Stegostoma tigrinum: one gene and its partner. The protein of the gene in region 2 interacts with the protein of the main gene of each other region in a pairwise test. Links are inferred from orthologs where the notes say so. Each region holds a gene or a part of one and is shown on either strand. Other genes may lie near its edges.

The links. The genes of interacting proteins can lie anywhere in the genome.
Region 1: the proteins of mipol1 (region 2) and utp25 interact in binary tests that used the Homo sapiens proteins (3 or more experiments, as listed by UniProt). The link is inferred for Stegostoma tigrinum from reciprocal best matches to the Homo sapiens genes MIPOL1 and UTP25.

Annotation. Positions count from the first base shown.
Region 1 is NC_081362.1:63,457,660-63,468,394, reverse strand, and holds the start of utp25 (U3 small nucleolar RNA-associated protein 25 homolog), read left to right. Parts: upstream 1-6,433; 5' UTR 6,434-6,475; coding exon 6,476-6,585; intron 6,586-8,589; coding exon 8,590-8,629; intron 8,630-10,420; coding exon 10,421-10,655; intron 10,656-10,735. UniProt on the Homo sapiens protein: Component of the ribosomal small subunit processome for the biogenesis of ribosomes, functions in pre-ribosomal RNA (pre-rRNA) processing. Essential for embryonic development in part through the regulation of p53 pathway.
Region 2 is NC_081363.1:57,566,105-57,576,812, reverse strand, and holds the start of mipol1 (mirror-image polydactyly gene 1 protein), read right to left. Parts: upstream 4,347-10,708; 5' UTR 3,858-4,346; intron 3,831-3,857; exon of another isoform or gene 3,696-3,830; intron 1-3,695.

The DNA.
Region 1 (10,735 bases), on a different chromosome or scaffold from region 2:
TGTTAAATGTCTGCTTTTGTATCTCACTTGACCTTTCCCCTAACCTAACTTAACAGCTTACTTTAGTATTTGTGTTTTCATACCTTCACAATTAATTATTTAAATTTAAAATACCAGATCTGGACTCACTCCTCTTTCCCTCAACTAAATATAGCCATCAATCATATTGTGATCACTTGTACTTAGTGGAACCTCCTCTATGAAGTTATTAATTAAGACAGTTTTGTTCAGTAAGAATCCCTAATATTTTAAACTGTACCTCCTAGTTATAGACACGAAGAAACATTCTCTCAGCATCCACATTCTTTAGTCCTTTCAGTATCTTATATATTAAGATTTTTAAAGGAAGAAAATATAAAAAGCAGAGATTTTGTGCTCCAAAAGTCAGTAGAAAGCTAACAAAATATGTGCATATATTTATTGTAATGAAAACAAAGTGCAGGCGAAATTCAGGTCTGATATGTGCAGAAAGAAACTGGGTTATGTGGAAGCCGATATGATTAGTCTTTTGAAAAGTGACAGATGCTGTTGAAAAAGGTGAGGCAGAGCAATTAGAATAGTAGGGAATGCCAGGTTAGAATGTTAGAGAGATTAGAGGTCAGAGGTATCACAGAACAAATGGCAGATGGTATGTTTGAGGACATGAGGCAAAGCATAAACACAGACAAATGTTTATAGCAAAATAAAAGTCAACTGTGATTCAAAGCACAATGGAGGACACAGTTCTTTCCTTCAGGTTATCTAAACTGATGTTGACCCAGACTCTTTTTACATGCAGTTTTCCAGACCTGGGTTTCTCCTGCACTGTTTACAGTATTTTGGGATTGAAGACAGACACGCTGGTTTATTTATGACTTGGGAGTATCATAGTTGTCTTAAGTTAAAATACTTCATGTAAACAAAAATGAGGTGAAGTGCTGGTTGGTAAAGAAATGTTAAATTAAAATATTTTTCATCCCATCAGAAATGAAGGAAATGTATTTGCATGAGTCCTCCTTCCTGCATAGTTGTTTTAGGGGCCTGGGAGGTGTGCAGTTAAATCTTTCTCACATTCAAACACAATTTTGCTGAATACATTTACTAAAAATGGCTGGTAAATAAATGCAGCCTTAGTTATTCAGCTTAGAAGTAAGTGCTGAATTTTCTTTTAGGGGCACAGTGGCTAACTCTGATGCCTCACAACACCATGAGCCCCGGTTCGATTCCACACTTGGATGACTATCTCTGAGGAGTTTGCACATTCTTACCTGTTTGTGTGGGTTCCCTCCGGGTGTTCTGGTTTCTCCCACAGTCCAAAGATATGCTGGTTAGATGGACTGGCATGCTACATTGCCCATAGTGTCCAGAGTTGCACAGGCAAGGTGGATGAGCCATGAGAAAATGCAAGGTTACTGGGATGGGTCTGGGTGGAATGCTTTACGGAATGTCAGTGTGGACTCAATGAACTGAATGACCTGCTTCCACATTGTAGAGATTCTGTGAATGTAGGTGGATGACACTTGATAAAATAAGAATAAATGAAGCAGATCATACTTTTATCTTTTGGTGGCACAGTGGTTAGCACTGTTGCCTCACAGCACCAAAACACCAGATTCGACTCCATCCTCAGGTGAATATGTGTAGAGTTTGCACATTCTCCCTGTGTCTGTGTGGGTTTCCTCCAGGTGCGCTGGTTTACTCCCACAGTGCAAAGATATGCAGGTTTGGTGGACTGGCTGTGCAAAGTTATCCAGAGTGTCCAGAGATGTGTAAGTTAGATGGATTAGCCATGGGAAAATGCAGGGTTACAGGGATAGGGTGGGTCTGGGTGGGATGCTCGTCAGAGGGTCAGTGCGGACTCGACGGACTGTTTGGCCTATTCCACACTGTAGGGATTTTATGAAATATTTCAGCATATGACATATTAGACATGAATTTAAGAAAATTATTTTAAGTATGGTATGATTTGTAAAATAAGATATTTTTGTTTTCAAACTATTGTGGAACAGCATAAATTTGTTCAGCTCATTATAAAGTGTTGAAATATTCAGCTTATTATACCTCAAATTATGGATGCATAATTTCTAACATGATGACATTTCCTCAAATATCATAAACAGTTTTGTACAGTACAACTAATTTATAAATAAATAGTCCAAACATGAATGTGCATATCATAACAGCGATTCCAAGCAAACATATGGATGATATTAAATCAGAGTGCTTGCATAGCTCATAATGGTCATTAGCTCAAAACCAAGCTTTTGAAATGTGTGTTGTACAGTATAAGAGCAACTGAGATTGAGGCAGCACGGTGGTTCAGTGGTTAGCACTGCTGCATCACAGCGCCAGGGACCTGGGTTCGATTCCCCCTCAGGCGAATGTCTGTGCAGAGTTTGCACATTCTCCTTGTGTCTGTGTGGGTTTCGTCTGGGTGCTCTGGTTTCTTCCCACAGTCCAAAGATTTGCACTTTTGGTGGATTAGTCATGCAAAATTGCCCATAGTGTTCAGGGATATGTAGATTAGGTGGGTTCTGAGGGACGGGTCTGGGTGGGAAGCTCTGAGCGGTGGTGTGGACTTGTTGGGCCGAAGGGCCTGTTTCCACCTTGTAGGGATTCTATGAAATGCAGATTGGTTCCATAACTACAACTAAATTGTAGTTCAAGTCCAGATGCTAATGCTATGAATTTACACCAGTGATGTAATCATTTCAAGTCAATCACAAAGTATTCCACAATATTTTGTTGAATCAGACTTGGTTCCAGTTGAGTGCTTGAAAATTACTTTTATATGACTTCTGAACCCGTCTTGTACTGAGGTGTTTTAAAAATGTATTGCAAATGGATCTTTATCCTATTTTACATAATCATCCGCTATTATATCAAATAATCCAAAGCCATACATCCCTACTTTGGCTTATCTAAACTTGTTCCCTCTACCAGTCTGTTCATCAAAATCTATCTGTAAATCAAAACACAGGAAAAAAAAATCAAGTTGCCTTGCTTAATATGTTATCAATGCTATCAAATTCCCAACCGAGCCTCATTACAAGACCATACTGTTTCTGGCATTAGATGATGAGAGCTGTCCAGCTTTTGACCAAACCACCTCTTTCACTTCCATGATCAATAGTCTAAATCTGGCTCTGAGTTAGGATCCCATCTCTCAAAACTACGAACAATATTCACTAAACAAATACTCTACTCTCCACACTCCATATTCTCAACTGCTGCTGTTTGTTTCCTTTCTCAAGTCTTGGATCAACACTGTGGTGTTGCCACTGTCTTCCCAACTTCATCACCATTTCCTGCTCAAACTCTGTTTTATTTTTATCAATACAAAGATACTTGGTAAAGTCACCAACAACCTTTGTGAACGTGACCAACGTTGAGTACATTTCCTCAACCCCAACCCTACCATCAGTGTGGTGAACTACTCTGCTGTATTGTTATTCTCCAAAGTTCATGTCAGTGGCACCACTCTTGGCTGGTCCAATTCCTTATTACAACAGATATTCTATTGCCTCGACTGACATCTATTCCTGGAGTTTCCTGACATGACGAGCTTGACTTTTTCCTCATCATATACAGGCTATTGCATTATTCGATCAGAAGAATGGGATTATCTTTTACATCTGCAACGTGTGCACATCACTTGTCTGATTCCTACTCCTCCAATGCAACATGATTGAAGACAAGATAGATGGAGTGATTTTTTGACAATATAGGCAGTTTAATGTTTGACAAACTGCAGCTGATGAATGGTGATACTAAGAAAGCAGAGAAGAGACGTTTAAATAACAATATCTAATAGTGAGATATCACAGATAAGAATTTCAATGGGACTACAGGAGGGATAGACAATACTGCAAAGGTGGAAAGAAGTGGTCATAGATGTTGATAGCATGAGCATTTGAAGCTTATCTTTTAAGTCAAATATCTGACGAGTTCTACACCCCATAACTGACAACATTGAAAAGCCGTAGGTAATAAGTACTGCCTTTAATTTTCAGCACCGACACTGGAGTACCAAACAGTGTTTTTTTAAATGAGGAACTGTCTCAAAGGTGTCAGCTTTCAGATGATAAGTCTAGTCTGCCTTCTCATTGGATAAAGATGAAAAGGCAGTATTGGTAGAGCAAGGGTTCACCCAGTTTCTTAGCCAATGTTTGTACTCCAATTAATATAATTTATCTATGCATTTATTTCAGTGCAATCTTTGGGAATCTTGTCTTGCACAAGAATCTTGGCTTTCACATTTTCCTACATAACAGCAGCAGCATTTCAGAAAGTTTCAAACCAGCTGTAAGGTCTTTGTAGGTGTTATTTAATTCAAATTCTTTCAACAGAGAAGGATGGCATGATGTGGCCACTACTAAATGCGGTGAATGCAATGAAAAATCATCAAAAAAAAAAAAAATCATTCTTGATTTTAGTAATTGTAGTCTTGAAACCTGCAAACATTAGCAGGATTGTCAGGATTCACAATGTGCTATAGGGCATAGAGCTGATCAAGAACATATCTGAAAGTCTTTAAAAAGATTACAGGTGAGTGAGCTAGTTAAAGAAAATGAATAGTTTGAGGGTTTTTTAGAGGAATGGTTTTCATAATAGCCAGCAGAGTGTAATTCAACAAGCAAACTGTGCCATTAACAATGACAGATACTAAGATGGTTGGACAAAGTAATTTACTGTGGTTGGAAGTTAAATGTGGATGGAATTGAGGGAGCAGTAAATAGAAGACAAGTATAGAGGGAAGGCAAGCATAAGAGGGGATGCAAAAATATGGCAATGGGAGAAACTGTAATGTAACAGGATTTGTAAAGATAACAGGATGAGATGTCCATAAAAATTAATCTTAGAAACAGCTACATGCCATTTTCAAACAGAAACCAAGGAAGCCAAGCCTATCACACCTAGTTAACAAGGTGTAGAGCTGGATTTCGGACCCACACCCTTCATCAGTTCCTACAGCCTTCCTGCTCCTATGATGCTGCTTGACCTGCTGTGTTCATCCAGCTCTACACCTTGTTATCTCAGATTCTCCAGCATCTGCAGTTCCTACTATCTCTATCACACGTAGTGCCTGAAAATGAGATGTGGACGGGAGCAAAAGCTCATCACAAAGAAAAAGGACACAAGTATATAATTGGTTTTGAAAGATAACAGAAAAATGTTTAATGGAGTTACAATGCAAATTGAGTAAAACATGTCAATTGCCAATGAGAACAGGGTTTCTCAAACCGGGCAGTGAGACCCAATCCCAACCTCTCTCCCCATTGCTCACAGAGGAACCGTTAGCACAGTGCGGAAGAACTGCAGTAAAATTATTCCTAAAGGTTTGCAGAAAAAGTGAATCAATTGTAAAATGAAACTTTTAAAGTGCTCCTTCTGCACATGTCGTCTACTTACACAGGACGATCAACTATCGTTCGGGTCGAGTGAGGGAGATAATTACATGAAATTCAGGGTCACACACAACAACCCTGAAAAATCCAGCGGCAGGTTATTGACAACAATCTGTTTATATTTTTCAATAGGTGAAAAGATAATTTCACGTACATCATGCTGCAGATATCCCAGGAATTCGGGAAATACTGTGTAGAAAACAGTGGCAGACAGGAGTCAGGATGAAGTCAACCAGGAGTGAGGGGAAAAAGGGAAATATATCTCACGACTAATGTCCGACCAACAAAAGGCTACAGAATGAAATAAACGGGTCTGTTAAAGCACGGGAACCCTATTCTCGGTTTTCCAGTTAAAGGAGTAATCTTTCAAATGAAGAATGTTTCACATTTCTAACAGCTATTAGAACAGACCCAGTCAGTACTCTTGTCAATGAGGAAGAAAAAGTTTGTCTCAAAAACCCCCGCCCCCTTCAAGACCGAGGCGAAGGTCGGTCAGTCAGTCAGTCAGGCAGGCTCAACATAAAATACAGGATTGAGAAGCCGTTTTCTCTGATGAAGGGTCTAGGCCCGAAACGTCAGCTTTTGTGCTCCTGAGATGCTGCTTAGCCTGCTGTGTTCATCCAGCTTCATGCTTTGTTATCCTGTCCTGGTTATCGTCCCCACGGCAACATCAAGAAAGAAAAGAGCTTTCCGAAGCATACTTGCCTCCATCGTGTTATTAAATTTCCCTCCAATCAAACCTCCCACGGTTTAAGTAAGGAATTTCATTCCTGCACAAAAAGCGCCCCATGACGCAAACCGAAACCAAAATGACAACTACACGACCGCTCAACCAAACCTAAAACAGGGCCTTCCCCTCTGATTGGCGTTTCGTTCACGATTTTTGTTGCCGCTCTGCCCTTCAGCCGAAGCACTTATTGAACGGCACCAGCGTCCGTCAAACTGCCTTTCAGTCTCATTGGGTGGAGCTGTACCGGTTAGCTTTCAGGTAGGACGGCTGAGCTAATAGTGAGAACCCGTATTGGGACGTGGCACCGAGTTGGTGTCCAATCGGAGAGCAGCAGGCGTGCGCGTGTTGTCGGGGGGAAATGGGGAAAAGAAAGAGTGGAAGAAAATCGCAGCGTTTTGGGAGTAACTTAACCAAGAAGCAGAAAAAACATCTGCGGGAATTCGGGGAGCAACATCCCTTTCACGATGAGTGAGTCTGTCTGCTTTAGAATCACCTTAAATTGGCCGTCGCTCCCAGTCTTGCACCCGTGTTTCGGTCTCATCATCCTGAAGTGTGGTGTTGGAATAATGTGAACAATTTTCGAAGTTTAAAGTCGAATTATACTGACATTGGAGGTAGTGCAGAGAAGGTTCATGAGACTAATCCTGGATGTAGTGGAGCGCTCTTATGAATATTGTGTGGGTTGGGCCTATACTCATTGTAGTTTGAAAGAATGAGAGGCAACTTTGGTGAAACACGTAAGATTCTTCAGGAACTTGACAGGGTAGATGTGGAAAGTTTGTTTACCCTTAGGGGCGAGTCTAGAACCAAGGGTATAGCCTCAGAATACGAGACCATACATTTAAGAACATGGGTTTAATAATTTTTTAAAAAGTGCAGGATTAAGCAATTCAGTCCCTAGAACCTTGCATCCATTGCTGTGTGGGATAGTGAATTCCACAAATTCTTGACCCTTTTGGGAGAAGTAATTCCTCTTCATCTATTTAAAATTTGCTAGTGGCAAGAGGGTTTCTTCTCTAAGGCTAGTGAATCTTTGTAATTCTTTACTGCAGAAGGCTGTGAGGGTAAAATCACCATTGTTCCAGAGAACCATAACACTGTTGTCTCAGTAGCGGTCTCCAAGCCTCAGGTCAAGTTGAGAAAGTGGGACCTTTTGTGGCAACTTCACCTGGAGCGAGCATTTAACCTGGCTGTTGAAGTCTTTTTCACAAACCGGCAGTCCAGGGACTGTCAAAGCTGTGACATTCAGTATATTCGAGGCTGAGGGAGACAGATTTCTAATCGGTGGGGAAATTGAGTGGGATAGGGAAAATACAGGAAAGTAGAGTTGGGGGTTATCAAGTTGGTCATGGTCTCATTAAATGGTGGAGCAGACTCGACGGGCTGAATGGTCTGCTTCTTCTCTGACATCATATACTGTGATCGGTTTGCTCTGAAATTCTTTGCCCATTGTGTAACTATCAGTATCTGTAGCCTCCATATGTCCTCTACATGACTTAGTTTTATGCTTTTTCTGTTATCTGCAAAATTGGCCATCTTACCTTCTGTTCCTTTAAACAGGTCATTTATGAAAATTGTAAACAATTGAAGTTCTTGCACTAATTTATATGGCACACCATTACATCTCACCAACCACGAAAAGATCCATCTTTGCCTACTCTCTGCCAATCTGCCACTCTATCCATGCCAATATACTACCCCATGTTGGAATAATGTGAACAATTTTCGAAGTTTAAAGTCGAATTATACTGACATCGGAGGAAAATAAAACATGATGTTTTATTTTCAACGGCAACATTTGATGTGGCAACTTCTGAAATACCCTCTAAAAATCAGAATGCTGAAAATTAATAACTTATAATTATTAGCATGCCTTTAACAACAGATTCTGATGTTTTCCCTATGGCAGACATTAAACTGATTGGCCTGTAGTTTTCTGTTTGTTGATTCCTCGTTTTGACTAAAGGAGAAACATTTATTATTTTGCAACCCACTACAATTGTATCTTGTTTTGGAAAAGAAAATTAAAATCAACATATTACCTATCGCAGTTGGAACTTATTTTGAGAACATAGAATAAAGACGTTGCCAATAGAGTGTGGAGCTGGAGGAACACAGCATGTCAGGCAGCATCAGAGGAACAGGAAAGTTGACGTTTCGGGTGTGCATCCTTCATAACCAGCCCTAACTTCCCCCCCAGCTCCACACTGTATTGACTGATTCCAACATCTACAGTTCTTGCTGTCTCCAAATAAAGATGCTTGTTAGTTTTCAATGCCAGCGATTTACTCAGTACTACTTGAGTGATTGTAATTTTCCTGAGTACCTCACACCCTTTTATTTTCTGATTTATTATTGCTTCTGGGATGTTGCTTTATATCTTTTATAGAGAAAATTATAAAATACCTGCTCAATTTGTCTGCCATCAGGCTATCTTGCAATTCTGTGTAATATTTGGGTATTATTTTGCAGGATTTTGGAAAAAGCAGCGCCAGTTCAGATTGTTGATCCGGTGAGTTTTGAATACTACTATTGTGGATTCTTTGTAGTATCTGGAGGTAACACTGTCTGGAAGACAGAATGCTTCATGTGTTAGTTAAACTTAATTTTAAAAATATTGAATTAAATGGCAGCTAGAAATGAACATCTCTGGAAATGTCTAGATAAAACACGCAATGTTTGATGGGTTGAGAGTGCAAGTTCTTTGCTGTGAAAGTTTGTAACAATGATGTAGGCACTGATGTTTATTTTAATAGTTTATTATGCTTAATGCTAGAAAAAAAGACATTTCACAGAGATAATTTAAGTAAACATTAAGTAAACATTACACCAAGACACAGATGACAGGTGTTAGACCCGTTTTCCAAAAATCAAAGGAGGTGCAAGGTTTATGAAAGAATTCCCAAGCATGGAAATGTAGATAGCTAAAGAAACAGCTAGTGTAGGTAGAGTGAAGAGAGTGGGAGAATGTCTGACTTTTCTGGACAGTGTCAGAAATTACACAATGCTATTTCAAAGTGACAGGAGGAAAGTTAATGGGAGATATGCGTGGAAAATTCTTTATGCAGAAGGTGGTGGGTGCCTGGAATGCATTGACAGTGGAGGTGGTAGATGCAAACATGATAGTCTCTTTAAAGATGTATCTGGACAGGTACATGGATGGGCAGAGAGCAAAGGGATACTGACCCTTAGAAAATAGATGACAGGTTTAGACAGAGGATCTCAATCGGTGCAGGCTTAGAGGGCTAAAGGGCCTGTTCCTGTGCTGTAATTTTCTTTGTTCTCTGTTCTTTTTAATCCAGCAGTTTTATTTGAAGTCACAAGCTTTTGGAGCCTCAATCCTTTAGAAGGACTGAGGCTCCAAAGCTTATGTTTTCAAATCGACCTGTTGACCTATAATCTGGTGTTGTGTGATTTCTGACCTTGCCCACCCCAGTCTAATACTGGCACCTCCATGCCGCAGAGAAGTCGGAAGCAGTGATTGTGGGAGAAGTTTAGGATTGGACGTGCTCAATGGTAAGAAAGGGTAAAACCATCTGGGAATTGAACACTAGAATGAAAATTGAGATGGTGAGACAGTTGGAATCATTGTATGCTAGCAAAGGTAGGGATGATTAGATACAGAGGAGTTGGTGTGGAACAGGATCTAGAGTCAGAGTTTTAGATGGGTGAAAAATGTATGCATTGAGGAGGAAATTGATGTAATAGAGTTTGGAGGTGAGAATGATGTCGAGTTTTACAGTTGGACTGAGGTAATTGGGCAGGAAAACATTAACCAAGGCAGTATTTGCAATGGAGGTATACAAGTCAGAAACTCACTGTTGTTGAGCGAGGTGCCAAAAATGTAAATAGTTGGTTTCAGTCTTAGATAGTGGCTCATGAGGTTCGTACAATTCTCAGACAAAATGTCTGAAGAACATGGTGACTGCAGATATTCAATTTTTTTTTTCACTTGCTCACGGGATGAGGACATTAGTGGCTAGACCAGCATTTGTTGCTCATCCCCAATTGCCCAGAAAGCAGCTCAGAGTTTGGAGTTTGGGTTTGGAGTCACAAGTAGCCAGACCAGGCAAGGATGGCAGTTTCCTTCCCTAATGGATACTAGTGAACTAGATGGATTTTTCTGACAATTGGCAATGCGTTTTTAAAATTTAATTCAAATTCCACCATCAGCCATGGTGAGATTCAAACCTGGGTCCCAGACCATTGCCTGGGTCTCTGGATTAAAAGTTCAGTGATAATATTGCTAGATTGTTGTGTCCCTTCACCATTCTTACTATTATTTTTGTCCAAACAATTTCAGGCTGAAAGCTCAGAGCAGACCGATTCAGAGAGCGATGCAGAATCTGGTATGGAACAGATGACTGCCTACCAACATCTGTGTTCCACCTTCAAAAATGTTGCGGAGGATCCAGACTCTGGTTCTGATAATGACAGTGAAAGTGAATTTGAAGAGGTTGTGAAGGATATGATCCAAGATGAGGAGGAAGAGAAAGATGATAATGAAATCAACAACAAAAATGATGAAGGAGAAAGAGGTATTTTCTTAGTTAATTGTATTTTTTTTCTGTTATTTGAGATGTGGGCATCACTGGCTGGACCAGAATGTATTGCCCTC
Region 2 (10,708 bases):
GTACAATATAATCCCAATAAAAGTGATCACTCCCTTATTTTTCAGTTCTACCCAAATAAATTCCCTAGACACACTCCCTGGAATATCTGTGTATAGATCTAATGTTATCCATAATTAAAACACCACTCCTCCCTCTTGCTCTCCTCTCAGCTTCCTATGGCATCTATTCCCTGCAACATTAAGCTGCTATCCTATCCATCTCTGCAATTGCTACGACATCAGTCCCATGTTCTGAATCATGCTCAGTTTCTGCATTCCCTGTTAGGATGGATGACAAATACAGTTCAGTCTAAGAAGCTCCTGAGATGCTGCTTGGCCTGCTGTGTTCATCCAGCCTCACATTTTATTATCTTGGAATTCTCCAGCATCTGCAGTTCCCATTATCTCTGATACTATTTTAACCTCACTGCGAAGCCTCTTCCAGGGATGCCTAACCTGAAGAAGTCACCCTCCGCCCTCCGGACCATCCTCAGGGAATCTCTCTCCCATTGCAACTCTCTTGTAATCTCCATCTTCGGTCCGCCTCCCCCTCTCTCCCTATTTATTCCAGTTCCCTCTCCCCATCCCCCTCTCTGATGAAGGGTCCAGGCCCGAAACGTCAGCTTTTGTGCTCCTGAGATGCTGCTTGGCCTGCTGTGTTCATCCAGCCTCACATTTTATTGTCTAAGAAGCACATCTCATTCTCTGCTTTGTTCCTGCCTGCCCTGACTGATAGTTAGGAAAAAGAGTAAGATAACAGTCTTGGACTGCTCTTTCCTCACTATCTCACTGGGTCCCACCACCACCTTACTAGTTTACTTATGAAAGGAAGGATTTAAAGTCACAGTTTATTCAAATCCTGAGTGCTTTTCATTATATCTTACTGTGCTTCTTCAGGTCTATGAATATAAACAAAATAATCTCCTTGACTTTGCACAACCAAGAAAAGCAACACCATGACGTTAGGTTGACTGCCTTAGTGTTTCTCTCAATGCTACTGGCAAATAGTCAACTAGATTTCTTTTAAAAAGCTGACTCACTCAGAACTGAGTGAACATAGCTCAAGCACTAATCTGAGATGCTTTTCACAAAGGGCAAGTCTTATTTACTTGAAAAAACCCAATTAATCTAGTTTATGCATTTCTGACGGGTGTTTGAAAAAATGCCATATTAGGCTTGTCAGCAAAGTTGAAGCTCATGCAATAAGTGGTGACATATACAAATTGTCCAACTGACAGGAAGCAAGGCAACTGAAGTTTGGACAGGAGGCAGCCATAACTTGGCAAGCTCGATCAGTTTTTATTGCCCATCTCTAGTTGTCTTTTGATCCGAGTGGTTTGCTAGGATCATCTTAGGTAGTTAAAAGTCAGCCACATTGCTGTGAATCTGAAATCACATGCAACCAAGTTCAGCTAAGGACAGCAGATTTCTTTTCCTTAAGGATACTAAAAAACCAGATAGATTTACGACAATCAACTGTGGCTGCCATGAGGCTAACTCCTAGTTTCAGTTGTTTTTAAATTGAATTCCAATTTTGCCATTTAAATGCATGTACTTAAAAGCATTAGCTTTGGATTCTGGGGGTTCTACTAACAGACATGACATGGCTGCCTCCCCAGGGTTTCATCAGAGGTTGGTAATGGAAACTTGTTTTTTGATGAACAATGTTAATAACCTAGATGTGCAAAGTACAATTTTAAAATATGCAGCAGTAAAAATCTTTCAAGTATTGAACAGCAAGGATACATTACAAAAGACAGGCTTGTGCAATGAAAAAACAAGTAGCAAATAAAATTTGATGTGAGCTAAGTAGTCAGTTTTGATAGGAAGACTGAGGAAAGAGCATACACAAAAAGGATACAGTTCTGAAACATGGCAGAGTACAAAGGAAGGAGTTATGGCAAGACTTCACAAAATATGACTGAACTAGAATGATATTGTGCCAGAATGGAATACATTGCCAGAACACCACAAAAGTGGTTTTTATGCTGCAGCTGTACAAAACTCTGGTGTGGCCACACTTGTAGTATTGCGTACAGTTCTGGTCACCGCATTATGAGGAGGATATGGAAGCTTTGGAAAGGGTACAGAGGAGATTTACTAGGATGTTACCTGGTATCAAGGGAAGGTCTTACGAGGAAAGGCTGAGGGACTGGAGGCTGTTTTCATTAGAGAGACGGTTGAGAGGTGACTTAATTGAGACACAAGATAATCAGAGGGTTAGATAGGGAGAGCCTTTTTCCCCCAGATGGTGACAGCAAGCACAAGGGGGCTTAGCTTTAAATTGAGGGGTGAAAGATAATAGGACCGATGTCAGAGGTAGTTTCCTTATTCAGTAAGGGGAAGGGTATAGAATGCTTTGCCTGCAACAGTAGTAGATTCACCAACTTTAAGTCATCATTGGACAAGCACCTGGACTTCAGATTGCAGATTGGTATGGCAGGTCAGCACAACATCAAGGGTTGAAGGGCCTGTACTGTGCTGTTCTACACTTTGAAATCAATTGCATTTTTTGCTATTTTAAGTCATTGAGTAAGTCAGTGATATATTTGCCAAATGCAATGACTTCTAATGGCTCCAAAAAAATTGCCTCAATTAATATGGGCAGCATGGTGGCTCAGTGGTTAGCACTGCTGCCTCACAGCACTGGGTACCCAGGTTTGATTCTAGCCTCGGGTGTCCATGTGGAATTTGCACATTCTCAGTGTGGGTTTCCTCTGGGTGCTCCAGTTTCCTCCCACAGTCCAAAGATGTGCAGGTTAGGTGGATTGGCTATGCTAAAATACCTAGCGTTCAGGGATGTGTAGCTTAGGTGGGTTGGAGGGCACACAGGGGAAGGAAGAGAAAGAAATGGGTCTGGTGGGATGCACTGAGGTTCAGTGTGGACTTGTTGGGCCAAAAGGGCCTGTTTCCACATTGTTCGATCCTATGGCTAATATTCATGCAAAAACAAACATTAAAGTTCAATTTTAGCAGAAAGCTTTTGAAAAAAGTTAGACAACTGTACAAAACTTCACTGGTTCAACAATTGATGAACTATAAGTACTGAAGGGTTTTAAAAATGTCACAATATTAATTGTTTTGAACCAAAGCAATCTGCCATTCCAATACCCATAATGGAAATATTTCCAAAACAAAAATACCTTAAATACAACAGTCCAAAAAAGCAAACAAACTAGCAAACCATTCATGATCCAATTAATACAAGATGTTTACCAAGCTGAACAATATTGCACAGATGGCCTAACTCAAATCAATGTTGTTGTTAAGTTAGACCAGAACAAAATCCACATATTCATACAATGTTACATCATTAACTTTGTTTAACAACTGTAGGATTAAAGGAGAAAACCAACCAGGCATCTATCATTCTGCCCACCCCAATATGTCAATTGCAACAAGCAAATGTTTGCTATCGCTGTATACTATGTTTAAGTATTGTTACAGCGAGCAAAGTGTTCCGGACCTCCGAATTAATTTATTTGTAAAATCGTTTAGTTTTCTCATCGAGGGCACCAATGATACAGGATTACAACTACCCTGATTTTGAAGGCAAGGCATAGAGAGCTACCATTACGAACAGACAACACAAAATTCCATCTCTCTCGCCATCCACCAACCCACCCTGCCCAACTAAATAACGCCATAAATCCAAACTCGCTGTCATTTACTTATCGCAAACACGAAACTTTGCAGCGAAAAAAAACCTGTCTGACCCTGTAGATTAACTTATATTGGTTGCAGCTCATCACTACCGCAGCAGTCCTGCTCCAAATCCCCTCTGCTCGCAGTATCAACAGGCTATGCTAACCGTCTAGCATTCGAATACGGTCTCGAGCGACGGTACACAACGCTTCCGGGTCACGAGAAATCGTCACCTGCCAGCTTTCTGGAACAATCGTGTTCCTTGTTTAGGGCGGCGTATACTGTTTGTTCGTCGTCACAGACAATATTGCAGTTGTTTGTCATCCACTGCTTGACAAATGAGAAGCGACGAGTCTCATTTCATCGAAAGTTTGTGCTGACACTTTCTATCGCCGTGCAAACTTAATTTAATTTTTCCTGGAAACTGAACACGCCGTGCTTTCTGGTTGCGGCCGCCACCACAGATTATTACGGTCATCTGTAAATTGAACAGTGTAGGCAGAAAGTACAACAGGTCAGTTAGTATCTGAAACGAAAGAAAAGACGAGTTACGTTTTTGCTAGTGTGCGGCTTGTTTTTCAAATAATACAAGTCAGAGCAGCCAGTGTAAAAGTTAATTAAACTTGTTGCTGGATTTAAAACCAAAAAAACTGCAGATGCTGTCAATCAGGAACAAAAGCAAAGCTGATGGAAAAGCTCAGCACGTCTGGTAGCATCTGTGTTTGGGGGGGGGTGGGGGGACCAGTGTTAACGTCTGAAGTCCCACCATCCTTCCTTAGACCGGATGGTGGCTGGAAAACATGACTTTATATGGAGAAAATAGGGAGTAAACGATAGGATAGAGCACGGAGAGAGAGAAACGCATTTGGACAGACAAAGGAGTTGCTAATGATCAGGCTGGGAGGGTGATTAGTTGTTAATGGGAACTGTTAATGACTAACAACAGGGGGTGTGCAGTGGCAGGCGATGTGGGAACAAGGCCTGGTGTGTGGGCCTGGGTGCTGGGACGTGGGAGAGTTTAGGCCCTAAAATTATTGAACTCGATATCGAGTCCAGAGGGCTGTATAGGGTTCCCAAGCGGCAAATGAGGTGTCGTTCCTCCAGTTTGCGTTGGGCTTCACTGGAACACTGTAGCAAGCCGGAGACAGAGATGTTGGCCAGGGAGTAGGGTGGTGCATTGAAGTGGCAGGCAACGGGTAACACTTGACCTGCACTTCCAGGAATCTAGTCTACTGAATTCACTGCTCACAATGTGATCTCCTCTACATGGGGAAAACTAAGTGTAGACTTGTGGGAAAACTAAGTGTAGACTTGGCGACCTTATCTCAAAACATCTACATTCTGCTCGCACAAAAGACCCTGAGCTACTTGTTGCTTGCCACTTTAATGCATCACCCTGCTCCCTGGCCAACATCTCTGACTCCGGCTTGCTACAGTGTTCCAGTGAACCCCAATGCAAGCTGGAAGAACGACACCTCATTTGCTGCTTGGGGACCCTACAACCCTCTGGACTCAATATTGAGTTCAATAATTTTAGGGCCTAAACTCTCTCATGTCCCAGACCCCCCCACCCCACACACCAGGCCTTGTTACCACATAGCCTGCCATTACACATCCACTGTGGTTAGTCACTAACAGTTCCCATTAACAAGTACTCGCCCTCCCAACCTGATCATTAGCAGCTCCTTTGTCTGTCCACATGTGTTTCTCTCCCTTTGGGCTCTATCCCATCGTTTACTCCTTACCCCACCCACCTCCCTATTTTCTGCATATAAACTGATGTTTTCCCAGCCACCATCAGTTCTAAGGAAGGGTCACCAGACCTGAAACATTAAGCCTGGTTTTCTTCTCCACAGATGCTGCCAGATGTGCTGAACTTTTCCAGCAACTTTGTTTTTGTTCCTGTAGTTGCTAGATATCTGAAATGAAAAGCAAAAAATGCTAAAGATGGGTCTAGGCCTGAAACATCAGCCTTTCTGCTTCTCTGATGCTCCTTGGCCTGCTGTGTTCATCCAGCTCTACACCTTGCTATAAATATAAAACAGACCTTCCCGCATCACTAGAAACAAACAGGTAGTGTTTGTTATGAGCCTTCATCAGAACGGACACTTTTTGAGGAAAAAATGAGGAGTGACAGACAATAAGGAAGTACTGCGAAAGAAAAATCAAAAATGAAATGCTGAGAAGGAATGATGTGAGGAAAAATGAACATGGAGATAGAGTAAACAAAGGAAGAAAAATGTGTTTATGGGTGTAAATGACGATTGCAAAATTAATTTCAACTGATGTCTTACTAAAAATGAAGGTAGGGTTATGGTTTAAAATAGTTAAACTCATGTTAATTTCAGAAAGCTATAAAGTACCTAAACAAAAGACGTTGTTCTGTAAACACCAATTGAAAATGCACTTCACTTGAACAGAATAGATGTCAAGATGGTTGTGAATAGAGAATTAAAATGGTTGACAGATTGAATTTCAGGGACACGTTTGAGGGCTGCAGGGGATATCCCACAAAACGAAGGCATTGGGCAGGTTTTCCTTCATTGGTCAGAACTTTGAGTAGGAATTGGGATGTCATGTTGTTGAGGCCACTTTTAAAATATCGCCTTCTGTTCTGATCTCCCTGCCAAAGGAAACATGCTGTTAAACTTGAAAGGGCTCAGAAAAGACATACAAGGCTGTTGTCAGGATTAGACTGTTTGAGTTTAAGTGGGAGCCATTGCTTTCCTGGATTATAGGAGACTAAGGGGTGACTTTATAGATGTTTAGAAAATCAATGAGAGGTATGGATAGGATGAATAGCCAAGGTTTGTTCACAGGAAAGGGAGTCTAAAACCAGAGGGCATAGGCTTAATATGAGAGGGAAACGATTTAAAAGGGACCTGAGGGGCAACTTTTTCATGGGGACAGTGGTGCAATGCTTGGAATGAGCTGCCAGAGGAGGAGGAGGAGGAGGTGGTGGAGGCAGGTTTGTTACAACATTTAAAAGTCACGTAGATGCATGCATGAATAGGAAGAGTTTAGAGGAATATGGGTCAAATAATGGCAGATGGGACTAGACCAGTTTCAGATATCTGGTTGGTGCGGACAAGTTACCGAAGAGTCTGTTTCAATGCTGTATAACTCTTTGACCCTATAATCCGTATTTAGTTTTGCCAGGATACAATAGACCACATCGTGAGCAGGGAATGGCAAGTTGCTAAAATGAAAGAAGTCTAGTTTCTATGATATTGCACATGCTAAATATCAGGTTTGTTCAGAGTTCCAAATTTCATTTAATTGCGAGCAATTTCAGTAACATTAATGGAATAGGTGTGCTATCTATTATTTCTTCTGATGTGTAGTATATGTGCTTTCCTTTACTGGCTTCCATTTCTGGCTTGCATGCCATACAGCATGCAGAGGATGTTGACAAATTTGAGGGAACCCAAATTCTAGAAGGATACACATAAGCCATCATGATTGATTGAGTCAAAGACTTCCATGAAGCTAAAAAAAACTGTACATGTGGCCACTGAAAACAAGCAAGCGAATATAGTAGGTAGTTAGAAAGGCAAATTATATGATTGCCCTTCTTGTTGGAGGGTTTGAACTGAGGAGTAAGGATATCTTACAGCAGCTGTGTTGGGCCTTGTTGAGACCGTGCCTAGAGTACTGTCATTAGCTTTGCTGTCCCTAAGGGAAGAAAAGATATATTTATTCTCATCACTAGAGAAGTAATATCAGACAAACGAATGTGGCTAAAGGCAGATCAGTCCCTGATCATGATGCTTTGCATTCTCAAATTCCTAGAAAATGTAGCTGCAGAGATAGTGATGTAATTTTCCAAAATTCCTTTGATTTTGGAGATGTGCCGAAGGACTGGAAAATTGCTAAGGTGACACCCATATTCAAAATGGAAGAGATGCAAAAGTGGGTAACTCTAGGTCAATTTGCCCAACATTTATAGTTGGAAAAATTTGGAATAAATTATTGAGGAAGCAATAGCAGCACATTTTGAAAATCCTAATTTCATTGAGCCAAATCCGCATGGTTTCATGAAAGGGAAACCATGTCTATTCTAATGTATTAGTTTTTTGACGAAGTCTGAACCAGAGGAGACCCAGTCAATGTGGTGTATGGACATCCAGAAGGAGTTTGACAAGGGACCTCTCAAAAGGTTAAATCAAATGTTAAGAATCCTCAGTGTTAATAGTAGTATATTGGCATGGATGGAGAATTGGTTGATGGCAGCAAACAGCAATAAGGGCCTCTCCTTCAGGGAGCAACCTGTAATCAGTGTGGTTCCACGGGAATTAGTGCTAGGATATCAATTGTTATATTAATAACTTGGAGTAAGGAAGCATTTGTATGGAAGCCAAATTTGCAAATGACTCAAAAATAGGTGGAAAGACAAGTTGAAAGAGCAATGAAAATAGTTTACAGAACAATATTGATCAGTTAAGTGAGTGGGCAAAATGTTGCCAAATGGAATGTAATGTGGGAAAATGTGAAGTTGTTTATTTCCAAAGGGAGAACAAAAGTATTATTTAAATAGAGAAAAATTGTAGAATGCTGCAAAACAAAGGGATTTTGGAGAACTTCTGCATGAAACACGGAAAGCTGCATATGCAGCAGGTGATCAGAAAGGTTAATGGAATGTTGGCCCTTATTTCAAAGGGTTTGGAGTGTAAAGTAGACAAATCCTATTGCAGCTGTACAAGGTGCTGGTGAGACCACATTTACAGTACTATGAGCAGTTTTGTTCATTAAAGAAAATACATAACATCATTAGCAGCAGGTCAGATGTTCCCCAGAATTATTCCTGGAATGGATGCATTGTCTTAGGAGGAAAAGCTAAACCAGTTGGTAGATGACTTACTGGAATTTAGAAGAATGAGAGGCGATCTCATCACTTGATGGTAAATTCTGAGGATGTTACCCTCATGGGAGAGTTGAGGATCAGAGGGCATAATCTCAGAATAAAGGGGCACCAACTTAAGGCTGAAATGAGGGGGAATTTCCTCAATGTTAAGTGTCTTTGGAACTCATCTCAGAGAGCTGCAGGTGCAGAGTCGTTGTTTATATTTAAGGCTTAGCTTGCCTTATGATTTGTTGGGGAATCAATATTCCTGGGGGAAAAGCAGGAAAGTGGACATGTGTGTCAAATTAGCTATGATCCTGCTGAATGATGGAGATGGCCAAATGGCAAGCATTTCTTATCGTCTTGAGAATTGTAATGAAGTTTCATTGATCTGGGATGGCAGGTTTGTCATATGATGAGGGACTGGCCAAATTGCGCATGTTCTTATTGCAGTTGGCAAGTATGGGAGGGGATATATTCAAATTTACAAAGTGCTAACAGGCTGAATAGACTGGATGGAGATATGCTTTTTGCCCTGCCTGGGGGATCCAAAATGGGATCATACTCTCAGGATACGCAGTGGACCATATTGGACTGAGGTGAGACGTTTCTTCACTCAAATGGTGAGGAGGGCTGTGGAGGCAAAGCCACTGAATATAATTAAGAAATAAATGGTAGTTTTCTGAAAGCTGAAGGTGTCAAGATATATGAGAGAGAGCAGAAGTATGGCGTTGAGATAGAGGATCAATCTTGATCATGTTGAATATTGGAGCAGGCTGATAAAGATCTTCTGAACTGAGTCTTCGTTTGACCCCCAGGTTCTCTTTGGGTGCTTGGAAAGCTGTAAGCACTTAAGCATTTATCTCAGCAGACAGCATGTATAGTCCTCTTGCTTAAGTTACAGGATATTTTGGAAAAGCGGTTTTGATCCACTGCTAAAATCAAATTAATTTCTGACCTTAAAGAAGTCGTCACCTTCATAGAACCTAAAAGCCGAATTGTTGGCTTTTTAGAATCCATAGTCCAATATTTTATTAAAATAGAAAACTTATAATACCTTTAATTGATTTGTTATGATTCCAGTTAATGTTATTACTGGAAAAATTAGATAACAGACTGAAATCTGGCTTGATAGATCGTATTTTATTTTTCTTTTGGTTTTAATGAGATGGTCTTTCACTGAAATTCACACTCATGCAATGATGCAGGTTTGGGTTTAACAATAAAACAAAAGTTTATTATGTAAAAGAAGTGCAGATAGAATAAAGCAAGCTACTTCCATATACCATAGATTTAAGATAAATTATATTACATACAGTGCCAGTAATTCCAACTGCATCCCATTACGGTGTGCAAACAGCAGAGAGAATTCCCTTGCCCATCCCACAACTTACCTGTGTCTTCAATTACTGGTCCCAAGAATCTGATAGCCTCATTCTTGGTTTGTCATATAAGTGAGCTTTGACTTGATCAGCTTAATATGACCCTTGTAGGATTTTAACCAAACATTTATAGTTTGTAACTTTCAATCTGAGCTCCTTATACTTGTTGCCTATCTGTGAGACACAACAGTACATACATAGATGAAGATACAACAGAGACATTTAGAGCTCTCTAAAGCTATAATTCATTTATTAAGTACTTAAATAGCCCACACTTTTAACTACGAGAAATATCTCAATCACTGTCTTTCACTACCCTGATTTCTGTAATTAAACCAGAACATCTTTACCCAGGGGAGGTCGCTGCTGGCCTCGCTAAAACTGTTCAGTGTCTTCACCGTGCCTCTTCACATAAGGTATTTCTTATAATGTGAATCTATGAAGTATTGTTGAACAAAAAGATTTCTTCAGGCTCCTTACACACAAGTCTTTGAACCACGTGTCTTATTTGGAATGATACATACATGTGACCAATCCAGAATGTTTTGTCCAAGTGTTTGCCTTATCTCGTAGAGACAACAATTCCTGATTTCCCACAGTTTTAACTCTTAGCAGACCTGACTGACTCAGCAAAATTCCATTGACAGAATACACATTTTTAAGCCTGTTATCGCTTCTTGTTATCTTCAGCCTTATCCAACGTACTGAAGTCACATTTTTCTTAAGTCCTAAAACTACTACTTTGCACATTGAGCTTTAGCCAAGACATCTATAACATTGCTCCAAAGTGAAACTGAAAATCCCTTTCTTAACCAATGGATGCTTCCCTGTAGCCCGAAGAAAATCCATAATCTGCTAT